Linked DNA regions of Macaca mulatta. The protein of the gene in region 1 interacts with the protein of each later gene in a biochemical or structural test. Links are inferred from orthologs where the notes say so. Each region holds a gene or a part of one and is shown in the gene's direction. Other genes may lie near its edges.

Evidence for each region.
Region 2: the proteins of SNW1 (region 1) and SKI form a complex in vitro, tested with the Homo sapiens proteins (2 studies listed by BioGRID). The link is inferred for Macaca mulatta from reciprocal best matches to the Homo sapiens genes SNW1 and SKI.
Region 3: the proteins of SNW1 (region 1) and RBPJ form a complex in vitro, tested with the Homo sapiens proteins (2 studies listed by BioGRID). The link is inferred for Macaca mulatta from reciprocal best matches to the Homo sapiens genes SNW1 and RBPJ.
Region 4: the proteins of SNW1 (region 1) and melanoma-associated antigen 1 form a complex in vitro, tested with the Homo sapiens proteins (2 studies listed by BioGRID). The link is inferred for Macaca mulatta from reciprocal best matches to the Homo sapiens genes SNW1 and MAGEA1.

The regions. Positions count from the first base shown.
Region 1 is NC_133412.1:150,940,875-150,945,809, reverse strand, and holds part of SNW1 (SNW domain-containing protein 1), read left to right. Parts: intron 1-1,162; coding exon 1,163-1,259; intron 1,260-3,559; coding exon 3,560-3,677; intron 3,678-4,935. UniProt on the Homo sapiens protein: Involved in pre-mRNA splicing as component of the spliceosome. As a component of the minor spliceosome, involved in the splicing of U12-type introns in pre-mRNAs.
Region 2 is NC_133406.1:238,449,839-238,455,880, reverse strand, and holds the start of SKI (ski oncogene), read left to right. Parts: upstream 1-2,153; 5' UTR 2,154-2,417; coding exon 2,418-3,386; intron 3,387-6,042. UniProt on the Homo sapiens protein: May play a role in terminal differentiation of skeletal muscle cells but not in the determination of cells to the myogenic lineage. Functions as a repressor of TGF-beta signaling.
Region 3 is NC_133410.1:25,358,800-25,364,861, forward strand, and holds the start of RBPJ (recombining binding protein suppressor of hairless), read left to right. Parts: upstream 1-2,173; 5' UTR 2,174-2,287; coding exon of another isoform or gene 2,288-2,307; intron 2,308-6,062. UniProt on the Homo sapiens protein: Transcriptional regulator that plays a central role in Notch signaling, a signaling pathway involved in cell-cell communication that regulates a broad spectrum of cell-fate determinations.
Region 4 is NC_133426.1:159,458,654-159,463,828, reverse strand, and holds melanoma-associated antigen 1, read left to right. Parts: upstream 1-1,868; 5' UTR 1,869-1,922; coding exon 1,923-2,873; 3' UTR 2,874-3,586; downstream 3,587-5,175.

The DNA.
Region 1 (4,935 bases):
GATAAATTTGCTTTATCACATATTTGCCCATCTGTCCATCTATCCATCTGATTTACTGCATTGCATTTCAAAGTAAGTTGAAGACGGCAGTACATTTTACCTTAAATATTTTAGCTGCATGCTTGATTCTAGAATTCACATTCAAAAATTAATATTATTTATTAGACTTAAATTAATTGCAAGTAAGGTTTAAAAGGCTGAATGTGACTACAAAGAAGTTTGTAATATTCTCTTGTTCAAAATATTGGCTGGGCGCGGCGGATCACTTGAGGTCAGGAGTTCGAGACTACCTTGGTGAAACTCCATCTCTACTAAAAATAAAAAAGTAGCCTGCATGGTGGTGCACGCATATAATCCCAGCTACTTGGGAGGTTGAGGCAGCCGAGAAGCAGAGGTTGCAGTGAGCTGAGATCACTCCACTGCACTCCAGCCTGGGCAACAGAGTGAGACTCCTTCTCACAAAAAAAAAAAAAAAAAAAAAAACCCAAACAGGCTGGGCGCGGTGGCTCACGCTTGTAATCCTAGCACTTTGGGAGGCTGAGGCGGGCACATCACCTGAGGTTGGGAGTTTGAGACCAGCCTGACCAACATGGAGAAACCCCGTCTCTACTAAAAATACCAAATTAGCTGGGCGTGGTGGCGCATGCCTGTAATCCCAGCTACTTGGGAGGCTGAGGCAGGAGAATCACTTGAACCCGGGAGGCAGAGGTTGCAGTGAGCTGAGACCGCACCATTGCGCTCCAGCCTGCGCAACAAGAGCGAAAGTCCGTCTCAAAAAGAAAAAAAAAATTAATGGGGCTGAGTGCAGTGGCTCACACCTGTGACTCCAGCACTTTGGGAGGCCTAGGTGGGAAGTTCACTAGAGCCTGGAGTTTGAGACCAGCATCGACAACATAGAGGGACCTCATCTTTACAAAACATTAAAAAATTAGCCAGGCATGGTGGCACACACCTGTGGTCCCAGGTACTTGGGAGGATGAGGCAGGAGGATCACTTGAATCCAGGAGGTAGAAGCTGCAGTGAACCATGTTCATGCTACTGCACTCCAGCCTGGGTGACAGAGTGAGACCCTGTCTCTTTTTAAAAAATTATATACACACGTACACATATGCACACATATAATAGATATTACAGTGAAGTACTTTTCAACTGTTCACAACAGAGGATGGGGAGGCACGTGAGAGGGATGAAATCCGGCATGACAGGCGAAAAGAGAGACAGCATGACCGGAATCTTTCCAGGGCAGCTCCTGATAAGAGGTAGGTGTTATTTAAGATACGTACCAATCATGGAGGCTGGGCGCGGTGGCTCACCCCTGTAATCCCAGCACTTTGGGAGGCCAATGTGGGCAGGAGATCGAGACCATCCTGGCTAACATGGTGAAACCCCATGTCTACTAAAAGTACAAAAAATTAGCCGGGCGTGGTCATGGTGGGCGTCTAGTCCCAGCTGCTCGGGAGACTGAGGCAGAAGAATGGTGTGAACCTGGGAGGCGGAGCTTGCAGTGAGCTGAGATGGCGCCACTGCACTCCAGCCTGGGCAGAGTGAGACTCCGTCTCACACAAAAAAAGATAGGTACCAATCATGAAGAGTGGCCTTTTTGTACCTTTTAGAGCAGAGTTTTTAGTCCACTAAGATCAGTTTTGCTTCTCTCCCTTTCTTCTTCAGTTTGATAACTTAATACATTAGCACTTAATTTTCTTATACTTAACTTTGTCTTAGCTCTAGTTGACTGTCTTTGGAATTAATCTTTTCTTCCATCACTTAAGTCAGAATTGAGAATGATGGGAATATGGAAAACAGAATTGAGATCAGATTTTTGAAAAGGATGTAGTAGTAAATTTGGACTGTTATAGTCGGTTCTTTTCCTACCTTAAATGGTGAGACAAATGGATTATGTGCCTCTTTAGACAGGAAATAAGCTGTCATGCTTTTACTGAGATCATTTTATATGCATAGTACTTTATATGCATCTAGTGCAATTGAGAAGAGCAGTTTTGAAAGAAGTGAAAATCAGCTCATTCTTAACAGAAGTTTAACTTACAGTTCAGAAAGACAGAGCTATCCATAAAATAATTTGAGAAAATTTGCAAAGCACTTTTAGTAAATATAAATGTATGGAACAAACTAAATACATATACAAGGGCATAAAGTATGGATTGGGGAAGTTTATGGCTCACCAAAGGCTGAGGACTTAAAGTTCTGAAAAGTAGAGGAAATGCTGCAATACAAAGGTAGAATTCTGAGTGAGGGTTAAATGCAAATATAAAATATTTTCTTCCCAAAGGAACAGTTTTCTATGCTCTGATCATCCCATGAGCCTAATACATTTTTCAAGTCATATTTTAAACACAAAAAAGAGGCTGGGCACGGTGGCTCACACCTATAATCCCAGCACTTTGGCAAGCCAAGGCGGGCGAATCACTTGAGGTCAGGAGTTCATCCAGCCTGGCCAACATGGTGAAACCCCCATCTCTACTAAAAATACAAAAATTAGCTGGGTGTGGTGGCATGTGCCTGTAGTCCCAGCTACTCGAGAGGCTGAAGTGGGAGAATCATTTGAACCCTGGAGGCAGAGGATTCAGTGAGCCAAGATCGTGCCACTATACTCCAGCCTGGGTGAGAGCGAGACTGTATCTCAAAAATAAAAATAAATAGGCATTAAAAAGATTCCTGCTGGTGTTAATTGGCATATTTCATCTCCCTGGATAAATGACGTCATAGAGAAGCAGAGACTCTTACTCTTGAGTTGAGGGTAACGTACATGTAGAAGGAGGAGCAAAGTGTGAAAGTGTTTAATTAATGACAGTCTTGGTTAGTAATTCCTAAGTTGTAAAAGTTACAATGGCTCTGTGGATAAATTGGGCCCTCAAAACCAGTAAAGTGGCCATCAGAATTGACAACATAGAAAAGCTGTAAAATTGTAACTGGATGAAAATCAAATAGCCTGTAGAAATCATTTTGTGACCTGAGTTTTTAGTAAAATAAGTAATGACAGTTACCATGGTTTCATTGGGATATAGATTGCATGTATAATGAAACAGCCAGGAAACCAAATTAATTTGAATGTCAAAAATCATACTAACTATTTCAGTCATTGACATGTTTTCCTCAAAATTCTAGTGGGATAAAATTATTAAATGTAGTTAGATAAAAGAGCTGTTTCTAGCTTATTTAAAATGATTCCTGTGCTACATCTAAATTGTATCCACTTCCCCAACCCCCAAACCATCATATGATAGTAAATATAGACCATAGCAATTTTATATCTCAGTATGGTTGTAAGGTGATTGCTTATATTAAAGAATTCCATGTCAACGAATCTGTTAGATGTTCTTTTGAGCTAACAGGATGTCCTAATTGTAAAACTCTTCCCTCTAATCTGAAATGCTTTATAAGGGCTGCCAACTTGATTATGTATTATCAAGGAATATACGTTCTCAAGATGTGAATGTGACATATTCATGTCCTTTGCTTCTGAGATTGGTTGTATTTCTATTGAACATACTCAGTTTGTCTATAAAGAGTTTTCAGTTAGTGATGTCGTATTTCAAAATAGGTCGAAACTTCAGAGAAATGAAAATCGGGATATCAGTGAAGTCATTGCTCTCGGTGTTCCTAATCCTCGGACTTCCAATGAAGTTCAGTATGACCAAAGGCTCTTCAACCAATCCAAGGTACAAGTTTAGGAAAGCATATTGTTGTGTTGATGTGAATACCTATCCTCAGGGAAACGAAAATTACCATACTTCATATTTGGATGTAAATGCCAGCATGATGACAAAAAAATTGGAAGTTGTATGTTGAAACTTGAGACAAGAAAGATGAAACAGTTCTGATTTTAACTTCTTACAGTGGACTGAAATTTGAGACACTAGGAGAAGAAAGAAATTAGCTGATTAAAAACTTGGTGCTGTACTCGGGAGGCTGAGGCAGGAGAATGGCGTGAACCCGGGGGGCGGAGCTTGCAGTGAGCCGAGATTGAGCCACTGCACTCCAGCCTGGGCGACAGAGCGAGACTCTCTGTCTCAAAAAAAAAAAAAAAAAAAAAAAAAACAACTTGGTGCTGTGGTATGTCAATCTTTTGTTTTTAAAATAGAACCAGGGAGGACAGGCACGGTGGCTTTTGCCTATAATCCCAACACATTTGGAGGCCGGCAGATCACCTGAGGTCAGGAGTTTGAGACCAGCCTGGCCAATGTGGTGAAACCCCAGCTCTACTAAAAATACGAAAATTAGCCAGGTGTGGTGGTGCATGCCTGTAATCCTCACTACTTGGGAGGCTGAGGCACGAGAATTGCTTCAGCTTGTGGTGAGCCAAGATTGTGCCACTGTACTCTAGCCTGGGTGACTGAGACTCTATCTCAAAAAAATAAAATAGAGCCAGTGTCCTACAAAAGTTCCTCTTGGGTTTTTTGTTGTTCATTTTTGGGTTTTTTTTTTTTTTTTAATGCTATAGAAATATGTCAATTTGGGAATCTTTTAAAAATGAAGCTGTAAAACTGGATTAAAGTACTAGGCTGGCTGTCAGGAAATCTGATTTCTAGTACCAATTGCCATTAGCTAACTAGGACACTTTAAGCCTGGGAAAACACAAGGCGGGTGCGTGCACACACACACACACACACACACACACACACGGTAAGAATACAAAGGTGTAAGTTCTACTGGAAAGTGGAGTGGGAAACTTTATGACTTGGAGGTTTTAAGTAAGCTCTTCTAAGTGATAATTTATTAGGTGCATTTTATATTCTTGGCATTGTTCTAAATCTTGTTATTATCTCAATTCTTACAAAAATCCTTTGAAATAATACTATTCTCTCATGTTATAGATGAGGAAATTGAAACACAGGTTTACCTTGTGACTGATGGAATTAAGATTCAAGTCTTGATCTCAAAGCTTTATTATTACTATTTTTTTTTGAGATGGAGTCT
Region 2 (6,042 bases), on another chromosome or scaffold:
CTCAAGCAATGAGCCTGCCTCATCCTCCCAAAGTGGTGGGATTACAGGCGTGAGCCACCCTGCCGGGTTAAATATCCCTTTTAAGGAAATGATCTTCTTACCCAGCTTTCTGATGTGTGAACGCACAGAGAGGCCTGGCCTCCAATTGTGGGGGCCAACAGAGTCAATGGGAAGAGTCGGGGGACAGCGTGGAGTGTGATGACAAGGAGACAAACCCCAAGGCAGCGGAGAGAGGGAGTATGGAGCTGCCCTGGGGTCACCTGCTGGGGGTCACCTGCTGGTAGGTCCTGGCTCCCTCTCCAGACACCTGCCCTGCCGCAGGTCGGGCCAAGACCTGCACAGGGGCGCTGGGCCGGCTCCCCCAGGGTAGGAACTGCGCCCAGGCGTGCTGGTTTGAGGCTGGTTCCAGCCTCCACTGGGGAAGTGAGGGGCAGGAGGTCCCAGCTAAAGGTCACTCACATTGCAGTACCCAGGCCAGCTTGGGCACCCCTGGCCCGTCGGGAATGTCTCTCCACCTCAGGTGAGCACAGTCCGAGCCCTCAGCCCCGCGACCATTGCGTCCCCGCGCCCGCACGCCTCGCTGGACGCTGCCTCCCCTGGAGACCACCTGGCCGACTGTCCAACTTCGGGGCCCCGGGCTTCCCGCTTCCCGCCCTGCCATGGCTTGGGTCTCTCCCACTGCGTGGCCAGGCGTGGAGGGCCGACCTGGCCCCGAAAGCCGTCTCAGCGCTCCGAGGCCCTGGGGCGGAGGGCAAGGGTCTCGCCGGCCTGCCCGCCGGGACCCGCGGGACCGAAATTCTGATAAGCCACCTGGCCGGGGTGGCTGGCAAACCGGCCGCGTCGGGGGCACCCGACGCCGCCCCTCTCAGGCCCGAAACCCCTGGCCCGCGCATCAGGGACAGTCCGCCCGGGGCCGTCGGGCGGGGCGGGGCTGGCGCGGGCGGGAGCCGCGGACACTCGGCCACCGGGCCACGGGGCAGCGGGGGCCGCTGGGCTGCGCCGCCAGGGTCACGCGGCGCGGCGCCTGTCTCGGCGCGGGGTCCCTGGGCGTGGCCGCTGTCCCCCTCGTGTGTGGTGACCCCCAGGTCACCGTGTGGCGTCCCGGTAGTGTGTGGGACCCCAGAGGCGTCCGGGGCCTCCCCGCTGTGTGGCGTCCCACCCTGGGAGAACCCCGGCTGCGTGGCGTGGCCCCCCGGCCTCCCCCAGCTGGTTTGCGGTCGTGGCGGGGGCCTGTGGGTTTCTGGGCCCCGGCGGCGGCGAGACGGGCGCCTTCCCAGCCGCGCAGGAAGCGGCCTCGGCCGGAAGGGGGGCCCCGGGCGCCACCGCCGCCTCCGCCTCCGCCCGCGCCGAGCGGCCTTCGACGGGCGGGGCCGAGCGGGGCCGAGCGGAGTCGAGCATGGCCGAGCGGAGCCGAGTCCTGGCCGAGAGTAGCCGAGTCGTGGCAGGGCGGGTCCGAGCGTGGCCGAGTCCCGGGCGAGCGGAGCCGAGCGCGGCCGAGTCCGGGCGGGGAGCGCGCGTTCCTGGAAGAGCCCGACTGGGGAGCGGGTCACATTCTTGGCCAGCGCTCGGGCTGAGGCGGACGCACGGCAACAAACAGCGCGGGGGGCGGGGCCGGCGCGGGGCGGAGCAGGCGGCGCGGGGCGGGGCGGCGCGGCGGCGGCGTGAGCTCAGCGCCGGGCGCTCAGTCCGAGCCGGAGCGAGCCGCCGGGAGGATGTGCGCCGAGCGCCCCGAGCCCCGCGCCGCCGCCGCGCTCTGAGGGCCGCGGGCGAGAGGCGCCTCCGCCGCCCCGGAAGCCGGGCGGGCGGGCCGCGGAGCCGGCGGGCGGGCGGGCCGGGGGCCGGCGGCGGGCGCGACGCGGCCGGCCAGCGCCGCCGGGACGAGCCGGGCGGGCGCCGCGCGGTGGGAGGAGCGGGGCGGCGGCGGCGCGCCGCGCGAGGACGGCCCGGCGGGCCCCGCGCCCGCGCCCCCGCTCCTCCCGGGCCCCTCGGCCTCGGCCGCCGCGGCGATTCGCGCCTCGCGGCGCCGGCACCTGCCCGCGCGCCCCCCGCGAGCCCCGGGCCCGCGAGCGTTGGCGTTGGCGTTGGCGGCGCGCGCCGGGGCATGCCCCGCGCCTAGAGCCCGGGGGGCGCGCGGGGGACGCGCGGGGGGCCCGGGCGGCGGCGGGCGCGGCGCGGGGCGCGTGGATGTGGCGCCGGGCCCGGGCGGCGGCGGGCTCCAGCGGCGGGACCCCTTCGCCCCGCCCGCCTTCCCCTTCGCGCCCCCGGGCGAGGCCGCGGCCGTGATCGGCCGTGAGCCGGCGGCGGGGGGCGGCCGGGGTCGGGGCCGCGGGCGCCGCCGGGGCGCGCGGGGCGGCGGCGGGGGCCGGGGGGGCCCGGGCGCGCGGGAGCGGGAGCGGCCGGGGGAGACGGAGCGCACCATGGAGGCGGCGGCAGGCGGCCGCGGCTGCTTCCAGCCGCACCCGGGGCTGCAGAAGACGCTGGAGCAGTTCCACCTGAGCTCTATGAGCTCGCTGGGCGGCCCGGCCGCCTTCTCGGCGCGCTGGGCGCAGGAGGCCTACAAGAAGGAGAGCGCCAAGGAGGCGGGCGCGGCCGCGGTGCCGGCGCCGGTGCCCGCAGCCACCGAGCCGCCGCCCGTGCTGCACCTGCCCGCCATCCAGCCGCCGCCGCCCGTGCTGCCCGGTCCCTTCTTCATGCCGTCCGATCGCTCCACTGAGCGCTGCGAGACCGTGCTAGAAGGCGAGACCATCTCGTGCTTCGTGGTGGGAGGCGAGAAGCGTCTGTGTCTGCCGCAGATCCTCAACTCGGTGCTGCGCGACTTCTCGCTGCAGCAGATCAACTCGGTGTGCGACGAGCTCCACATCTACTGCTCGCGCTGCACGGCCGACCAGCTGGAGATCCTCAAAGTCATGGGCATCCTGCCCTTCTCGGCGCCCTCGTGCGGGCTCATCACCAAGACGGACGCCGAGCGCCTGTGCAACGCGCTGCTCTACGGCGGCGCCTACCCGCCGCCCTGCAAGAAGGAGCTGGCCGCCAGCCTGGCGCTGGGCCTGGAGCTCAGCGAGCGCAGCGTCCGCGTGTACCACGAGTGCTTCGGCAAGTGTAAGGGGCTGCTGGTGCCGGAGCTCTACAGCAGCCCGAGCGCCGCCTGCATCCAGTGCCTGGACTGCCGCCTCATGTACCCGCCGCACAAGTTCGTGGTGCACTCGCACAAGGCCCTGGAGAACCGGACCTGCCACTGGGGCTTCGACTCGGCCAACTGGCGGGCCTACATCCTGCTGAGCCAGGACTACACGGGCAAGGAGGAGCAGGCGCGCCTCGGTCGCTGCCTGGACGACGTGAAGGAGAAGTTCGACTACGGCAACAAGTACAAGCGGCGGGTGCCCCGGGTGAGTGGCCCCAGGCCTGGGAGCAGGGGTGGATGTGCTTGCGGTGGGGGACCCTTCTGGGCCACAGGCTCTGGTCTCCAAAGGCTGGGACCTGTGTTTCTGCCGTGCCCCATGTGTCAAGTCTTTGCTTTGTTTTAGGGAAATTCAGAGTGTTCCCCTTGGCAGGGCCAGAGGGTTTAGTAGGAAGGCCCTCCTGCCCTTTCCCCCAGGAGGAGCCTGGAGTGGGGGCTGTGTCGGTGGGGTGGGGGCTAGGCCTGGTGTGTGGGGAAGGCCCACAGGCCCATAGCCTTTGCCCAGATAGGATAGGAAGGCACAGGCCTCCTATGCTCCCGGGAAAGCGGCCTGCTCCGAGGTCAGGGAAGTTAGCTCCAGTTGGGCCCCAGCCGGATGCCTCAGGCCCAGGTCTTCCTTGGGGTTGGGGTGGAGGTGACTGCCCTCACCCCGAAGGCACCCAGCCTCGAAGACGGAGGGCTGCCTGCCCTTGGGCCCCAGGAGACAGAGCTTGGGCGAGACGAGGCCTGGTTTTGTTACTGGCTCCCGGTCCATGTTTGTTGCCTTGAAGTTTTGGGACAGAGACACAAAATGAAGCCAGGTGTTCAGGCTGCAGCGACAGGGGCCTGAGACTGGGCGGCTCCAGCACTGTGCTGGTTGGTCTCCCTGGGCCTGCCAGGGACCAAATCCCAGAGTGCCCCGTGTGGGGTGAGGGCCACTTGGCACCCGGCTGAGGGCCTGGTCAGCAGGCCCCTGGGCCCACATGCTGGAGTTACTGGCGGCTTGGGATTTGGACTCACCCATTTCCTTCTCTCCTTCTGAAACGCAGAGGGGTGCGCCGGGGAGGGAGGCCGCTGGCCTGGCTTTGTAGTTTGCCAGTTGGAGGATCTACGGGATCCGGCATGGGCAGCTCCCAGGCCACGAGGCGCCGAAATTACTCAGTGGGGTCCTCAGGAACTTTCCGTTGCATACCTCCCCAAGTATGTGTAACTTTTCTTTTAAATATCCAGGCTTATTAAATTGCACACACAGAATGCTGCATTGGCTCAGCTATTCTTGGGAGGCCTAATTAATTCAGCTATTGCATCAAACTTTTTTTTTCTGAATCTGTGAATAGATGCTCCAGCCCGGTTTTCTCTGGGCGCCCCTCCAGCAGAGTGTCAGATCGTGGGGAGGAGGGGCTGTGGATGGAAGCGAGGGACTGTCGCCTCTGCGTGGAGGGGGCTGCGGAGGGTGCATGTGCGTGTGCCTGTGTGTGTGCGTGTGTGTGTGCAGGGGTGCTTCTGACCCTGCCAGGCCAGGGCTCAGGTGGCAGCTGCCTGCAGACCTGTGGGCTGGGGACGGATGCTCGTGGCAGAGCTGCAGACAGACCTCACAGGCTGGGACCCTTCATGTCACATGGGGAGTTGGCTGGGGTGGGTCCGATGGCGCTCCCTGTGGGCTGGGGTCTTTCTTTTTGGGGTGGCCGCACCCTCGTCAGTGCCTATGGCTGGGGGAAGCCACGTGTCGCTGGGGTGGTTGGTGGGCTCGGGCAGGCTGCATAGTGGGTCACCTGTGGCCAAGGCCTGAGCTGCTGGGACACACTCATCACTGTCTCCAGAGCTGACGGCAGAGGATCTCGGCTGAGCAGGGTGTGTCTGCGTTTGTTTTTGTCCGACTGTGGGTCATGTATGTGCTTGCAGTCTTTCTGTCTTCCTGGGTTTTGTTGGGGGGCCATTGGAGTGGCCAGCAGGGCCTCTTCGTCACAGCTGACACAGAGCAGGGCCCAGGCCACCGGCTTCTCCCTCCCGGCGGTTGTGAGCGCCGGGGTCCTTGGGCCGCCATGGAGACGGGCCAGACAAGCTTTCCCCCTGGTCATCTCAGCGGATGGCTCCAAGTTGCCTTTCCCTTTTGAAGTCCTCCCTAGCACAGCTCTGAAATCTCATCTATTGATTAAAAAGGAATTCCCAAGCCATACTGACGACGTTTACGGTGTGAGTGACTGGGTCCTCCAGGCCTGAGTGGCAGCCACAGCCTGGCCCTGGCAGTGGTGGCCTCCGCCTGGCTCCCTGCATGTTCACCAGCTCCTGCGGGCTTTCCTCTCCTCATGCTCCTGGGGGTGGGCACCCATCCTGCCCGTGTCGTCTCCTGCTCTGTGTTCTTGACGTGGGGTGGCAGCCAGGGACTCTGCCCTCGCTCAGTGCGTGCCCCCAGGCTCTGTGACTGTGTGGTTGGGAGTTCTGGGCTGCAGGATCCCCTTAAGTCTCCCTAGGACAGCCATGTGCGTGTCTCTGTGCACGGGGGCAACACATGAGAAGGGAGTGTGGTCTCAGGGTGGGCGTGGACCCGCAGTGCCCAGACCCCACTTCTCCTAGAAGGAGTGGCCTGGGAGGCCCCGCCTCCACCCTCGCTGGCTGCCGTTGGCTCCTCCCACCCATGTCTTGACAGCTTATTCTCAGGATATGTTTTGATTTCTTCACTTCCTTTGTAGCTTATTTTAATATTTTTGATCTGCCGAAGATGAGGGCTGAAGGAACAAAGAGTGTACTGGAACCCTCTTTGCAGGGCTGCTGCTCCCAGCAGGCCTTCGGGCTCTGTGGAGCGGGAGGGAGCTGAACTGCCTTCCGGGTGTTTGTGGCCAGGCCAGGGCCGGGTCTCCTGCCTGAGTGGGCTGGGTCAGCGTCAC
Region 3 (6,062 bases), on another chromosome or scaffold:
CTATAGCACCTGCCGCAGCAATACGTAAAATGGGATATTGCAACAAAAATACGGAAAGGTGAAGGAAAGCAAAAAAGCCATATTAGTGGGAGGAAAAAACAGAACAGAAACTGATTTGTTAGATTACTTCAAAAGGTTAAGAAGAGACTGAGAAGAAATTTTAAGAACCGTGTCCTTAAACGGGAGCAAGAATCTATACAAGGCAACAATGCAAGAGCGCAGAGCTGTTTATTTATTTATTTTTCTAACCAGCTCACAGGGCCAGCGGGTAGATTAGAAAGAAAACAACTAATTGCTAAAGTAGAGTAGCTAAGGAATCAGAACTTGTTTCAAAATAAGCGAAGTGGTGGCCAGACTAGGTGACTCAAGGCATGACTCAAACCCGACTCTGGGGGCTGTCTCTCAGCTCCCGGAGGCGGGGGGCGCGGCGTCTAACACATTTTAGGAAAGTACCAGGCTTGTGGAGGGCGACAGGAAACCTCCCCGGGAGATCGGCCTGGGGCTCCTCCTGCCCTAGAGCCTGACCTCTCACTCTCCGCACTGGGAGCCACTTCCAACCTCCTGGCTTCCCCTTCTTCCCTTCGAGGCTCCCCACCCCTCGTCTTCCACCCAGCGTCACAGGGCGTGTGCGTGTGTGCGAGACGTCGCGTCTCCTTCCCCGCCGCCCTCTGCCCCGTGCTCCCCGCCACGCGCCTTCCCGCCCCGCCTCCGCGGCGAGCCGCTCCCTTCCCACCCCGCCCGCGCCCGCCGCCCGCCGCCCGCCTCCCGGGCACGCGCGGCACGAACGGCGCCCGGACCTGCTCTAAACAAACACCTGTCCTCCCTTGGCTTCGCGAGATTTGGAGCGAAAGCCTAGGCAACAGGGGGCACGTTCTCGCGAGGTTTAGGAAATTTCCCACGGCCGTGTTGTGTCTGAGCCGAGTAGTGGAAGGCGGTGGGAAGGAGGTGTAGCGTGAGACGCGACTGCCCGCATTGGGTGCATGCGCAGTGCCGCTCGCGCGGGCCGCGCCAATCCTGCAGCGCCTTCAGCAGGTTTCGGGCGGCGAATTCCAGTTCTCCGGGTTTTGGGGCTCCCTGCGGGAGGCAGTGCTGGATTGGGAATCTCTAGGAAAGGAAAGGGCAAAGGAGGGGAAAAATGGGGGGCTGCAGGTAGGAGGAGGGGGCGGGGTTCGGGCTCTGCACCTTGCTGTTCAATGCCCGGCGGGGCCAGGTTCGCCCGGGGGCTTCCGGCATCAGGCCGCCTGAAGCGCGATTCGGGCAGCCGGCAGCGTCTTCGGCTGTGCCAGGCCCTCGGGTGGCCCGGTTCCCTGTGCAGTAGTGGCCTCAACACACACCTGGGCTCACACACGGTGGCGGCTGCGATGGGGTCTTAGAGAGGCCATGTGGCACGCGAGCTGCAAGAGCTTTGATCAGGGCCTCTGGCCCGACTCGGAGGTGGGAGAATGTGGCTCTCAATTCCAAGGCAGTTTTCCCTTCTGGAGAGAACTACTCCGCACCCTGGCGTGTGTCTGCGAGGTGGCCATTAGGGGTGTCTTTCCCAGAGGCCTTGACTTGACCTCATTTCACACCTAAGGAGAACGCTAAGCCGAGAGAGCTCAACTGCAAAAGTTTTCCGTTTGCGGAGCTCTGGAAGGGCCTCCTCATTAGCATGGGGGTGTAATGAATGAAGACAGTTCCCGACGTGTCACTTGCCCGAACCCCAGGCACCTCTGACGCTCCTGCACCTAACGCCGAAATTAGCATAAAGGAGGCGCCCAGGGAACGTCTGAATGAATGAAAGGAGCTGGGAACCCAGAGTGAGCGGGAAGCCGCTTGGAAAACACCCATTGAGGAGGTGTTTCATCTAGGCCTGTGAAACGCGGCCCATTTTCCCAGGACCCCTCCTCCCTTCTCCTCGGCCCCGCCTCCTGACCCCTCCATTCCCCGTCCCCGTAGTAATCCCCTCCGGTTTTCCTCAGTCTCCACGTACGTCCCTCAAGGCGCGTCCCAAAACCTGGATAACCGGAGCGCTCCCCATGGACCACACGGAGGGCTCGCCCGCGGAGGAGCCGCCTGCGCATGCTCCATCGCTTGGGTAGGTTTCCAAGGGAGGCAGCGAGCAGGATCCCCTACTCTGCGGGCGGCGCGAGGCGTCTGGCTCTTCGCGGCGGCGGCGAGGGGAAAGGGAGCGCGGGGGCTGGGTGGAATCGAGGAGTGAGGAAAAAGGGAAGGGGCGGGGGAGAGGGACCAGGGAAGGCGTCGGGGGGAATCTCGCGAGGGTTGGAGTTTTGGCGAGAGTTTGTGGAAGATGGCGCCTGTTGTGACAGGGTAAGTCCGAGGGAATCGGAGCGCTGGGAACCGGGAAAGTTGCGGGCGTCTGGCAGCCCGCGGCGAGCGGCGGATTCGGGGGCCGCAGCGCGCTTGGCGTCCGGGGGCCCGCGGGGGCGGCGTCGCGTGCGCCGAGCGCGGCGGCGGCTGCGGCGTGTGACCGTGCGCTGCCTCTGCGCTGCCGTGGCTCGGGCTCCGGCGCGTGAGGGCGGGAGGCGGCGGCGAGGCCGGCGGGTGCGGGCGTGAGTGCGGCCGGGCGCGCGGGGCCCTCGGGCGCCGTGCCTCCCGCGCGCCTCCAGCGGGCCCTGCCTGGGGGCCCCGTGCAGCTTTGTTCCTCGCGGCCGTTGTCGCCGCCTCGCCCCGCTAGTGCCCCCGGCCCCGGGCGCTTTGTCTTTCCCCGCTGCCCCCCGCGACTCTCTACCCCCGGCCCTTTGTTTCGCCGCCTTGGGCGCTTTGTCCGACCCGTGGCGCCCCGCATCCTCTTTCCATCTCCTCCCCTCCGCTGTCCTTCCTCCCGTGCCCCTTTGTTGTGCCCCACTCTTGTCGGTAGCCCAGTGACCTGCCACAGCCCGGGCACCAGATTCCTGTCTTAATTGTTCTTCCATTGTCTTTCTCCTGTGGGTCCTCTCTCACCTTTCTCTGCGGTCCTGGATCCCCCCCCCCCGAGGCGTTGTCTCCCCCATCCATGGGCTTATTCTCTCGGCACCCCCTTCCTCTCCCGTCATCGGTTGATTTATCCACTACCCCCGGTGTACGTCTGCTGAACTGTCTCAGCCCCGGAGACTCCATCTGCTGCTTCTAAGTGCACACAGACTCTACGGTTTGTTGTTGTTTTGTGAGTCTGAAAGATGCATGGGATACTTAGTTTCCTCCTCCGCACCCCTTTTTCTCGGGATTTCTTGCACCCCCCGCCCCCCCATCGCCACCCCTTTCTTTCGGGATTAAAGCGTCTCCAATTTTCATCGCCGTCTCTTTAGTGCGGTGGGTTGTTTTGCTTGGAAACAGTAGCCCTGGAAAAAGGTCTGGTCTCTTGGTGGTTCTTGCGTCCCCCGGCCCCCGGCCCCCGCCCCCCTCCTGGTTCCTGACGGCCTAGGCCAAGGGCAGCTGTCTGTCGAAGCTTTGCATTTAGGTTGCCTGAGGATGATTGGAGGGTATCGTAGGACGGTTAGAAGGAGGCTCAAGATGTATATATGTGTTTTTCTGTTAGTGTTTGAGAATAGTTTCAGATATCCACAATGGATATTCATTTGGCATGTGAGTAGGAGTTGAGTGAATTTCCATGTTGAAAACTTGTGAGTGTTGGGGCGGAGAATTTCAGCATTTTCTAGAAATCTGGATTTAGAATTTATCAGAAACTCCTGCCTCATAAGGAAAAGGAGAGGCATTCCGGTTGGGAATTTTATATAAATGTTTTACTTTTTCTTAATCATTAGATGGTTTACAGTTATGTGCGTTTTTGCTGCTCTGTGGATGCGTGACAACCCTTCTGTCCCATCACTGGGGTTGAAATGAGGACAGCACCGAAGAGTGCAGTTTCTGATTGATGAATACTGCTTCTAGGATCTTTGTGGAAGATATTAATCAAATGCAGTAAAAAGTATACGTAAAGATGTATATTATATATATGTAATAGCCTGTAGTGAGATTATTTTAAAGACACTTCCTAGTGTTAAAGGACCCTTGAAGTGTTCTTACTGTTTTGGTAATGCTAAAAGCTTGGGGTTGTGTGAATGGGGATGGGGGGTGTGGTGTGATGTCTTTTAATGAGTTATTCTCGTGCTAGGAATAAGAGTTATTATATTTACCAGGATTACTATGCTGAATGTATTCTTCAAGAGTGAGTTTGTTTCTACTAGTTGGTCTCTACTTTTAGAAGGTATGTTACACATAAAATCATTTGGAGTGTCATTTCATTTACAAACTGAAGTTCTACAATAGTAAAGTGTTGTTTATAGAGGACATATGAGATCTACTCTAACGAGTATTGGAGCATTGGAAAGTATTTTTTTTTTCTGGCTGTGATTAGAATTAGTAGTTTGAGTTTTAATTAATGGAAAACCATGGTTTCATGATTGATACTTAAGTTTTTTTTTGTGAAAATCTGCAGTCTGGGTCGCATGAGTGGGTTTTACCAATAATCTTATGTCTCCCTTACTTGTTCTTGTACATAATGATTCTTTTGAAGGTAAAATCTTAAGCTCACTGGTTTTCTGACTGGGAGCAAAGTGTAAATACTGTGTAATAATGGAGGGTATTTTGCTCTGACTTGTACCTGTAGAATGATTACACAGACATGATAAAAGCGCTTTTACCATTTGAGTTGCGTTTTTCTTTCTAAATCGTGTAAGACTTTTACTTTGTGGTGAAATAAAACTGCTTTTAATTAAATTATAACAGCAGCATATTTCGAAATCTGGATGAGTTGTGGCTGGAGAACTTTCATTCTGAGTATTAACTATTAAAACTTTAAGTTTTATTATCCATGCATATTGCTGATGGATCTGTGATTATATTTTCAGAAAATGAGACTTGCAGTATTTTCACATCTGTACTGTTCAAAACACTTGTAGGCTTTAGATTTTAAGCAGTTAGATTTGTTAAAAAAATTACCTATTGTCCTATACCAACGGATTTCTGTCAATTTTTTTTTTTAAGTGGGTAAGATCAAAATTGGTTTGGTTGAAAGGCCATTCTTGCCAGATGTAATTCATTAAATAACCTTTGGCACCCTTGATGGGTAAGGCATTAGGAAAAAATTGTTTTGTTTTTTAAGTTCTTACACATCTCATTCTTCTGTTCATTTTTAGAAATAAAATCCAGGACTTGGCTTTAAAACATTATTTTGCATTTTGCTTCCTCCTAATACTAAATTTCATGTTATTTCAACTAGGGGCAGTATTTTCTCATGGATTGACTAAAAGTTGTTATTTTTGGCATCTGGCTTTGTGATTATTTCCAAGTTACTCTACTTCCCCTGGGCCAGTTTCCTAACTGTGTAGTAAAATGGGAATTATAATAACTTGCCACATCTGCACAGGATTGCTATGCCTTAAGGTTCGCAGAGAGCATCCTTGGATGAAAACTGTGGGGAAGGTCTATGAATTGTTACTGAAATAAGCTAATGTGAAGTAGGTCATATTTTATAGGAAGTCAAATAGGTTTTTAAATTATTGGCAAGACACAGTAGCAATAGTGGGATTTTTTAAAATCCCAAATATGTATTATAGTATGGGTAATAAAACAGATACCTTTATTCCTGCTCCCCGTAAACTTATAGGGAGAGAGACAAGTAAAACAAATTACAGGGTGATGTGTCGTGTGTGTGTGTGTGTGTGTGTGTGTGTGTATGTGTGTGGTGTGAAAGATTGAAGTTCTGTCAGACTCAAATGTAATAACATAAAATTATGGGATGCTTTCCTCTTTTGTTTTCTGCATGTAGCAATATCTTATTTATTTATTTTATTTTATTTTTTGAGACAGGGTCTCATTCTGTCATCAGGCTGGAGTTCAGTGGCGCAATCTTAGCTCACTGCAACCTCCACCTCTTGGGCTCAAGCGATCCTCCTGCCTCAGCCTCCTGAGTAGCTGGGATTACAAGCGTGCACCATCACACCTGGCTAATTTTTGTGTTTTTAGTAGATATGGGGTTTTGCCATGTTGGCTAGGCTGATCTCAAACTCCTGACCTCAAGGGATCTGCCCACCTTGGCCTCCGAAAGTGCTGGGATTACAGGGTGAGCCACCATGCCTGGCCTG
Region 4 (5,175 bases), on another chromosome or scaffold:
GAATGGCGACTAGGCATTCGATCTTGATGTCTCCATCCGAAGCTGATGGAGGGAAGGGGCTTGAACAGGGCCTCAGGGGAGCAGAGGAAGGACCCTACCGGGAGATGAGGGAGGCCTCAGGGGACCCAGCACCCCAGGACACCGCAACCCTGTCTGAGACTGAGGCTGCCACTTTTGGCCTCAAGAATCAGAATGATGGGGACTTATATTAGCATAGGGGTGGGACCCAGCCCTGCCAGGATCACAAGGAGGAAGAGGAGGGAAGACTCAGGGGACCTTGGAATCCAGATCAGTGTGGACCTCTGCCCTGAGAGGTCCAGGGCACGGTGGCCACATATGGCCCTTATTTCCTGCATCTTTTGAGGTGACAGGACACAGCTGTGGTCTGAGAAGTGGGGCCTCAGGTCAACAGAGGAAGGAGTTCCAGGATCCATACAACCCAAGATGTGCCCCCTTCACAAGGACTGGGGATATCCCTGGCTCCACAGAGTATGGCTGTTTCTTTTTTGTAGCTCTAGGGGGACCAGATCAGGGATGGCCGTATGTTCTAGTCTCACTTGTACCACAGGCAGGAAGTTGGGGAGCCCGCAAGGAGATGGGGTCTTGGGGTAAAGGGGGGATGTCTACCCATCTCAGGGAATTGGGGGTTGAGGAAGCACAGGCTTTGGCAGGAATAAAGATGAGTGAGCCAGACAAGGCTATTGGAATCCTCACCCCAGAACCAAAGGGGTCAGCCCTGGACACTTCACCCAGGGTGTGGCATCTTCTTACTCCTGTTTCCAGATCTCAGAGAGGTGAGGACCTTGTTCTCAGAGGGTGACTCGGGTCAACATAGGGACCCCCATCTGGTCTAAAGACAGAGCAGTCCTACGATCTGCCATGCATTTGGGTGAGGAACATGAGGGAGGATTGAGGATACCCCAGGGCCAGAACACTGACAGAGACCGCACAGAAATCAGCTCTGCCCCTGCTGTCACCCCAGAGAGCATGGGCTGGGTCATCTGCCAAGGTCCCTCTCTTATCTTGGGATCATTGATGTCAGGGAGGGGGAGGCCTTGATCTGAGAAGGCTTCACTCACGTCAGTAGAGGGAGAGTCCCAGGCCCTGCCAGGAGTCAAGGTGAGGACCAAACAGGCGCCTCACCCAGGACACATTAATTCCAATGAATTTTGATATCTCTTGCTGTCCTTCCCCGAGGACCTAGGCCCGAGTGGCCAGATGTGGGTCCCCTCCTGTCTTTCTGTTCCTTATCATGGATGTGAGCTCTTTATTTGGATTTCTCAGACCAGCAAAAGGGTGGGATCCAGGTCCTGCCAGGAAAAATGCAAGGGCCCTGCGTGAGAACAGAGGGGATCATCCACCGCATGAGAGTGGGGATGTCACAGAGTCCAGCCCACCCTCCTAATAGCACTGAGGGCCCAGGGCTGTGCTTGCAGTCTGCACCCTGAGGGCCCGTGGATTCCTCTTCCAGGAGCTCCAAGAACCAGGCAGTGAGGCCTTGGTTTGAGACAGTGTCCTCAGATCACAGAGCAGAGGACGCACAGGCTGTGCCAGCAGTCAACGTTTGCCCTGAATGCACACCAAGGGCCCCGCCTGCCGCAGGACACATGGAACTCCACAGAGTCTGGCCTCACCTCCCTACCGTCAGTCCTGTAGAATCGACCTCTGCTGGCCGGCTGTACCCTGAGTGCCCTCTCACTTCCTCCTTCAGGTTTTCAGGGGACAGGCCAACCTGGAGGACAGGATTCCCTGGAGGCCACAGAGGAGCACCAAGGAGAAGATCTGTAAGTAGGCCTTTGTTAGAGTCTCCAAGGTTCAGTTCTCAGCTGAGGCCTCTCACACACTCCCTCTCTCTCCAGGCCCGTGGGTCTTCATTGCCCAGCTCCTGTACACTCCTGCCTGCTGCCCTGACCAGAGTCATCATGTCTCTTGAGCAGAGGAGTCTGCACTACAAGCCTGAGGAAGCCCTTGAGGCCCAACAAGAGGCCCTGGGGCTGGTGTGTGTGCAGGCTGCCGCCGCCTCCTCCTCTCCTCTGGTCCTGGGCACCCTGGAGGAGGTGCCTACTGCTGGGTCAACAGATCCCCCCCAGACTCCTCAGGGAGCCTCCGCCTTTCCCACTACCATCAACTTCCCTCGCTGGAGGCAACCCAATGAGAGTTCCAGCAGCCATGAAGAAGAGGGGCCAAGCACCTCGCGTGTCCTGGAGTCCTTGTTCCGAGCAGTACTCACTAAGAAGGTGGCTGATTTGGTTCGTTTTCTGCTCCTCAAGTATCGAGCCAGGGAGCCGGTCACAAAGGCAGAAATGCTGGAGAGAGTCATCAAAAATTACAAGCACTGCTTTCCTGTGATCTTCGGCAAAGCCTCTGAGTCCTTGCAACTGGTCTTTGGCATTGACGTGAAGGAAGCAGACTCCACCGGCCACTCCTATGTCCTTGTCACCTGCCTGGGGCTCTCCTATGACGGCCTGCTGGGTGATAATCAGATCATGCCCAAGACAGGCTTCCTGATAATCATCCTGGTTATGATTGCAATGGAGGGCGGCCGTGCTCCTGAGGAGGAAATCTGGGAAGAGCTGAATGTGATGGAGGTATATGATGGGAGGGAGCACAGTGCCTATGGGGAGCCCAGGAAGCTGCTCACCCAAGATTTGGTGCAGGAAAAGTACCTGGAGTACCGGCAGGTGCCCTACAGTGATCCTGCACGCTATGAGTTCCTGTGGGGTCCAAGGGCCCTCACTGAAACCAGCTATGTGAAAGTCCTTGAGTATGTGATCAAGGTCAGTGCAAGAGTTCGCTTTTTCTTCCCATCCCTGCGTGAAGCAGCTTTGAGACAGGAGGGAGCAGCTTTGAGAGAGGATGAAGAGGGAGTCTGAGCATGAGTTGCAGCCAAGGCCAGTGGGAGGGGGGCTGGGCTAGTGCACCTTCAAGGACCGTGTCCAGCAGCTTTCCCTGCCTCGTGTGATGTGAGGCCCATTCTTCACTCTGTTTGAAGAGAGCAGTCAGCATTCTCAGTAGTAGGTTTCTGTTCTATTGGATGACTTGGAGATTTATCTTTGTTCTCTTTTGGAATTGTTCAAGTGTTCCTTTTAAGGAATGGTTGAATGAACTTCAGCATCCAAGTTTATGAATGACAGTAGTCACACATAGTGCCGTGTATATAGTTGAGTAGTAAGAGTCTTGTGTTTCATTCAGATTGGGAAATCCATTCTATTTTGTGAATTGGGATAATAACAGCAGTGGAATAAGTATTTACTTAGAAATGTGAAAAATGAGCAGTAAAATAGATGAGATAAAGAACTAAAGAAATTAAGAGATAGTCAATTCTTTTTTTTTTTTTTTTTTTTTTTTTTTTTTTTTGAGACGGAGTCTCGCTCTGTCGCCCAGGCTGGAGTGCAGTGGCGCGATCTCGGCTCACTGCAAGCTCCGCCTCCCGGGTTCACGCCATTCTCCTGCCTCAGCCTCCTGAGTAGCTGGGACTACAGGCGCCCACAACCGCGCCCGGCTAATTTTTTGTATTTTTAGTAGAGACGGGGTTTCACCGTGGTCTCGATCTCCTGACCTTGTGATCCGCCCGCCTCGGCCCCCCAAAGTGCTGGGATTGCAGGCGTGAGCCACCGCGCCCGGCCGAGATAGTCAATTCTTGCCTTATACCTCAGTCTATTCTGTAACATTTTAAAAGATATATGCATACCTGGATTTCCTTGGCTGCTTTGAGAATGTAGGAGAAATTAAATCTGAATAAAGAATTCTTCCTGTTCACTGGCTCCTTTCTTCTCCATGCACTGAGCAGCTGCTTTTTGGAAGGCCCTGAGTTAGTAGTGGAGATGCTAAGGTAAGCCAGACTCATGCCTACCCATAGGGTTGTAGAGTCTAAGAGCTGCAGTCACGCAATCAAGGTGGCAAGATGTCCTCTGAAGATGTAGAGGAAAAGTAAGAGAGAGTGAGGGTGTGGGGCTCCAGGTGAGAGTGGTAGAGTGTAAATGTCCTGAGCTGGGGCATTTTGGGCTTTGGGAAACTGCAGTTCCTTCTGCGGGAGCTGATTGTAAGGATCCTGGGTGGATCCAGGGCCAGATTCTCAGACGGTGAGAGAAAAGCCTGAGTTGGAAAGCTGCTCTGAGGAGTTTCTTTTGGACGGTGGATAAACAGAGAGGAGTCTCCACCTAGGCAGGATTGGAAAGTGTTCTGCGCTTTTTTTTTTCCCATTGCTTCTGAACACAGCGCAAGAGCTAGGTGATGGACACCCATCGTCCGAAAGCGTTTCCTGAGAGAGAAGCGTGAATCTCCCCGGAATGGAGATCCAAAAGCCACTGGCCAGGCACTTTTCTACCTGGCTGGGAGGACCAGAGCTGACTCTTAAAAAGGCATTCTAATGAGGTTATCTCACGTGCAATTTGGCCAGTTGTAAGCAAGATTTCGTATGTTGACAAAATGAATGAAAATAGTGGTTTGGATGGAAAGGTATGTGGGAGAGAGTAAAGGAGTTGGTTTTTGACTCAAATTCTACGATCTTTGAGCTGTATCCGCCTAGGGGAAGTCGCACACCCAAATTTTGAAGTACATTCTCTAAGAGGCAATACTTACTGAATTTTAGGAATGAAACTTCCCTTTTTGGTTAGTTATTCCATGTCCTATTAAGTTGTATATTCTCTGATAAGTCCTGGAGAACAACAACAAAATCCCAGAGTGGTAGGGTCTGGGCTCAAATAATATTAGAAATAACAGCCACCTGCTATCCATTAAACTTGTAATTTACTCCAGGCCCTGAACCAGCTGCTTCACTTGCATGCACACACTCCAACAGTCCTAGCGGAAGGGTCTAATCACACCTACTACACAGATGTAGAACCAGAGGCACACAGGGCTTGGGTATTTCCCAGGATCACGTGCCTAGTAAGGGACAGGGCTGGAACCCGATCCCTGATCTGAATTCCTGTAGAGCCCATGCTGTTCCCACTCCTCCCAGCCTGTGGCCCACCTCCTGAGTACTACTTCCTTTCTCTTCTCAACACTGTGCCATATGTCTCTGGTGACAAAAAGAAAGACCCCGAGGCCAACGTACTAAAAACAGACCAGGGGAAGGTGACAGTGAGAATCAAACATCATTTGAGGCTGGTGTGCACTGGGTTCCTTGAGAGTTGATTCTGCCAAGGCGTGGGCATTTCTGTCCAGTTCCAG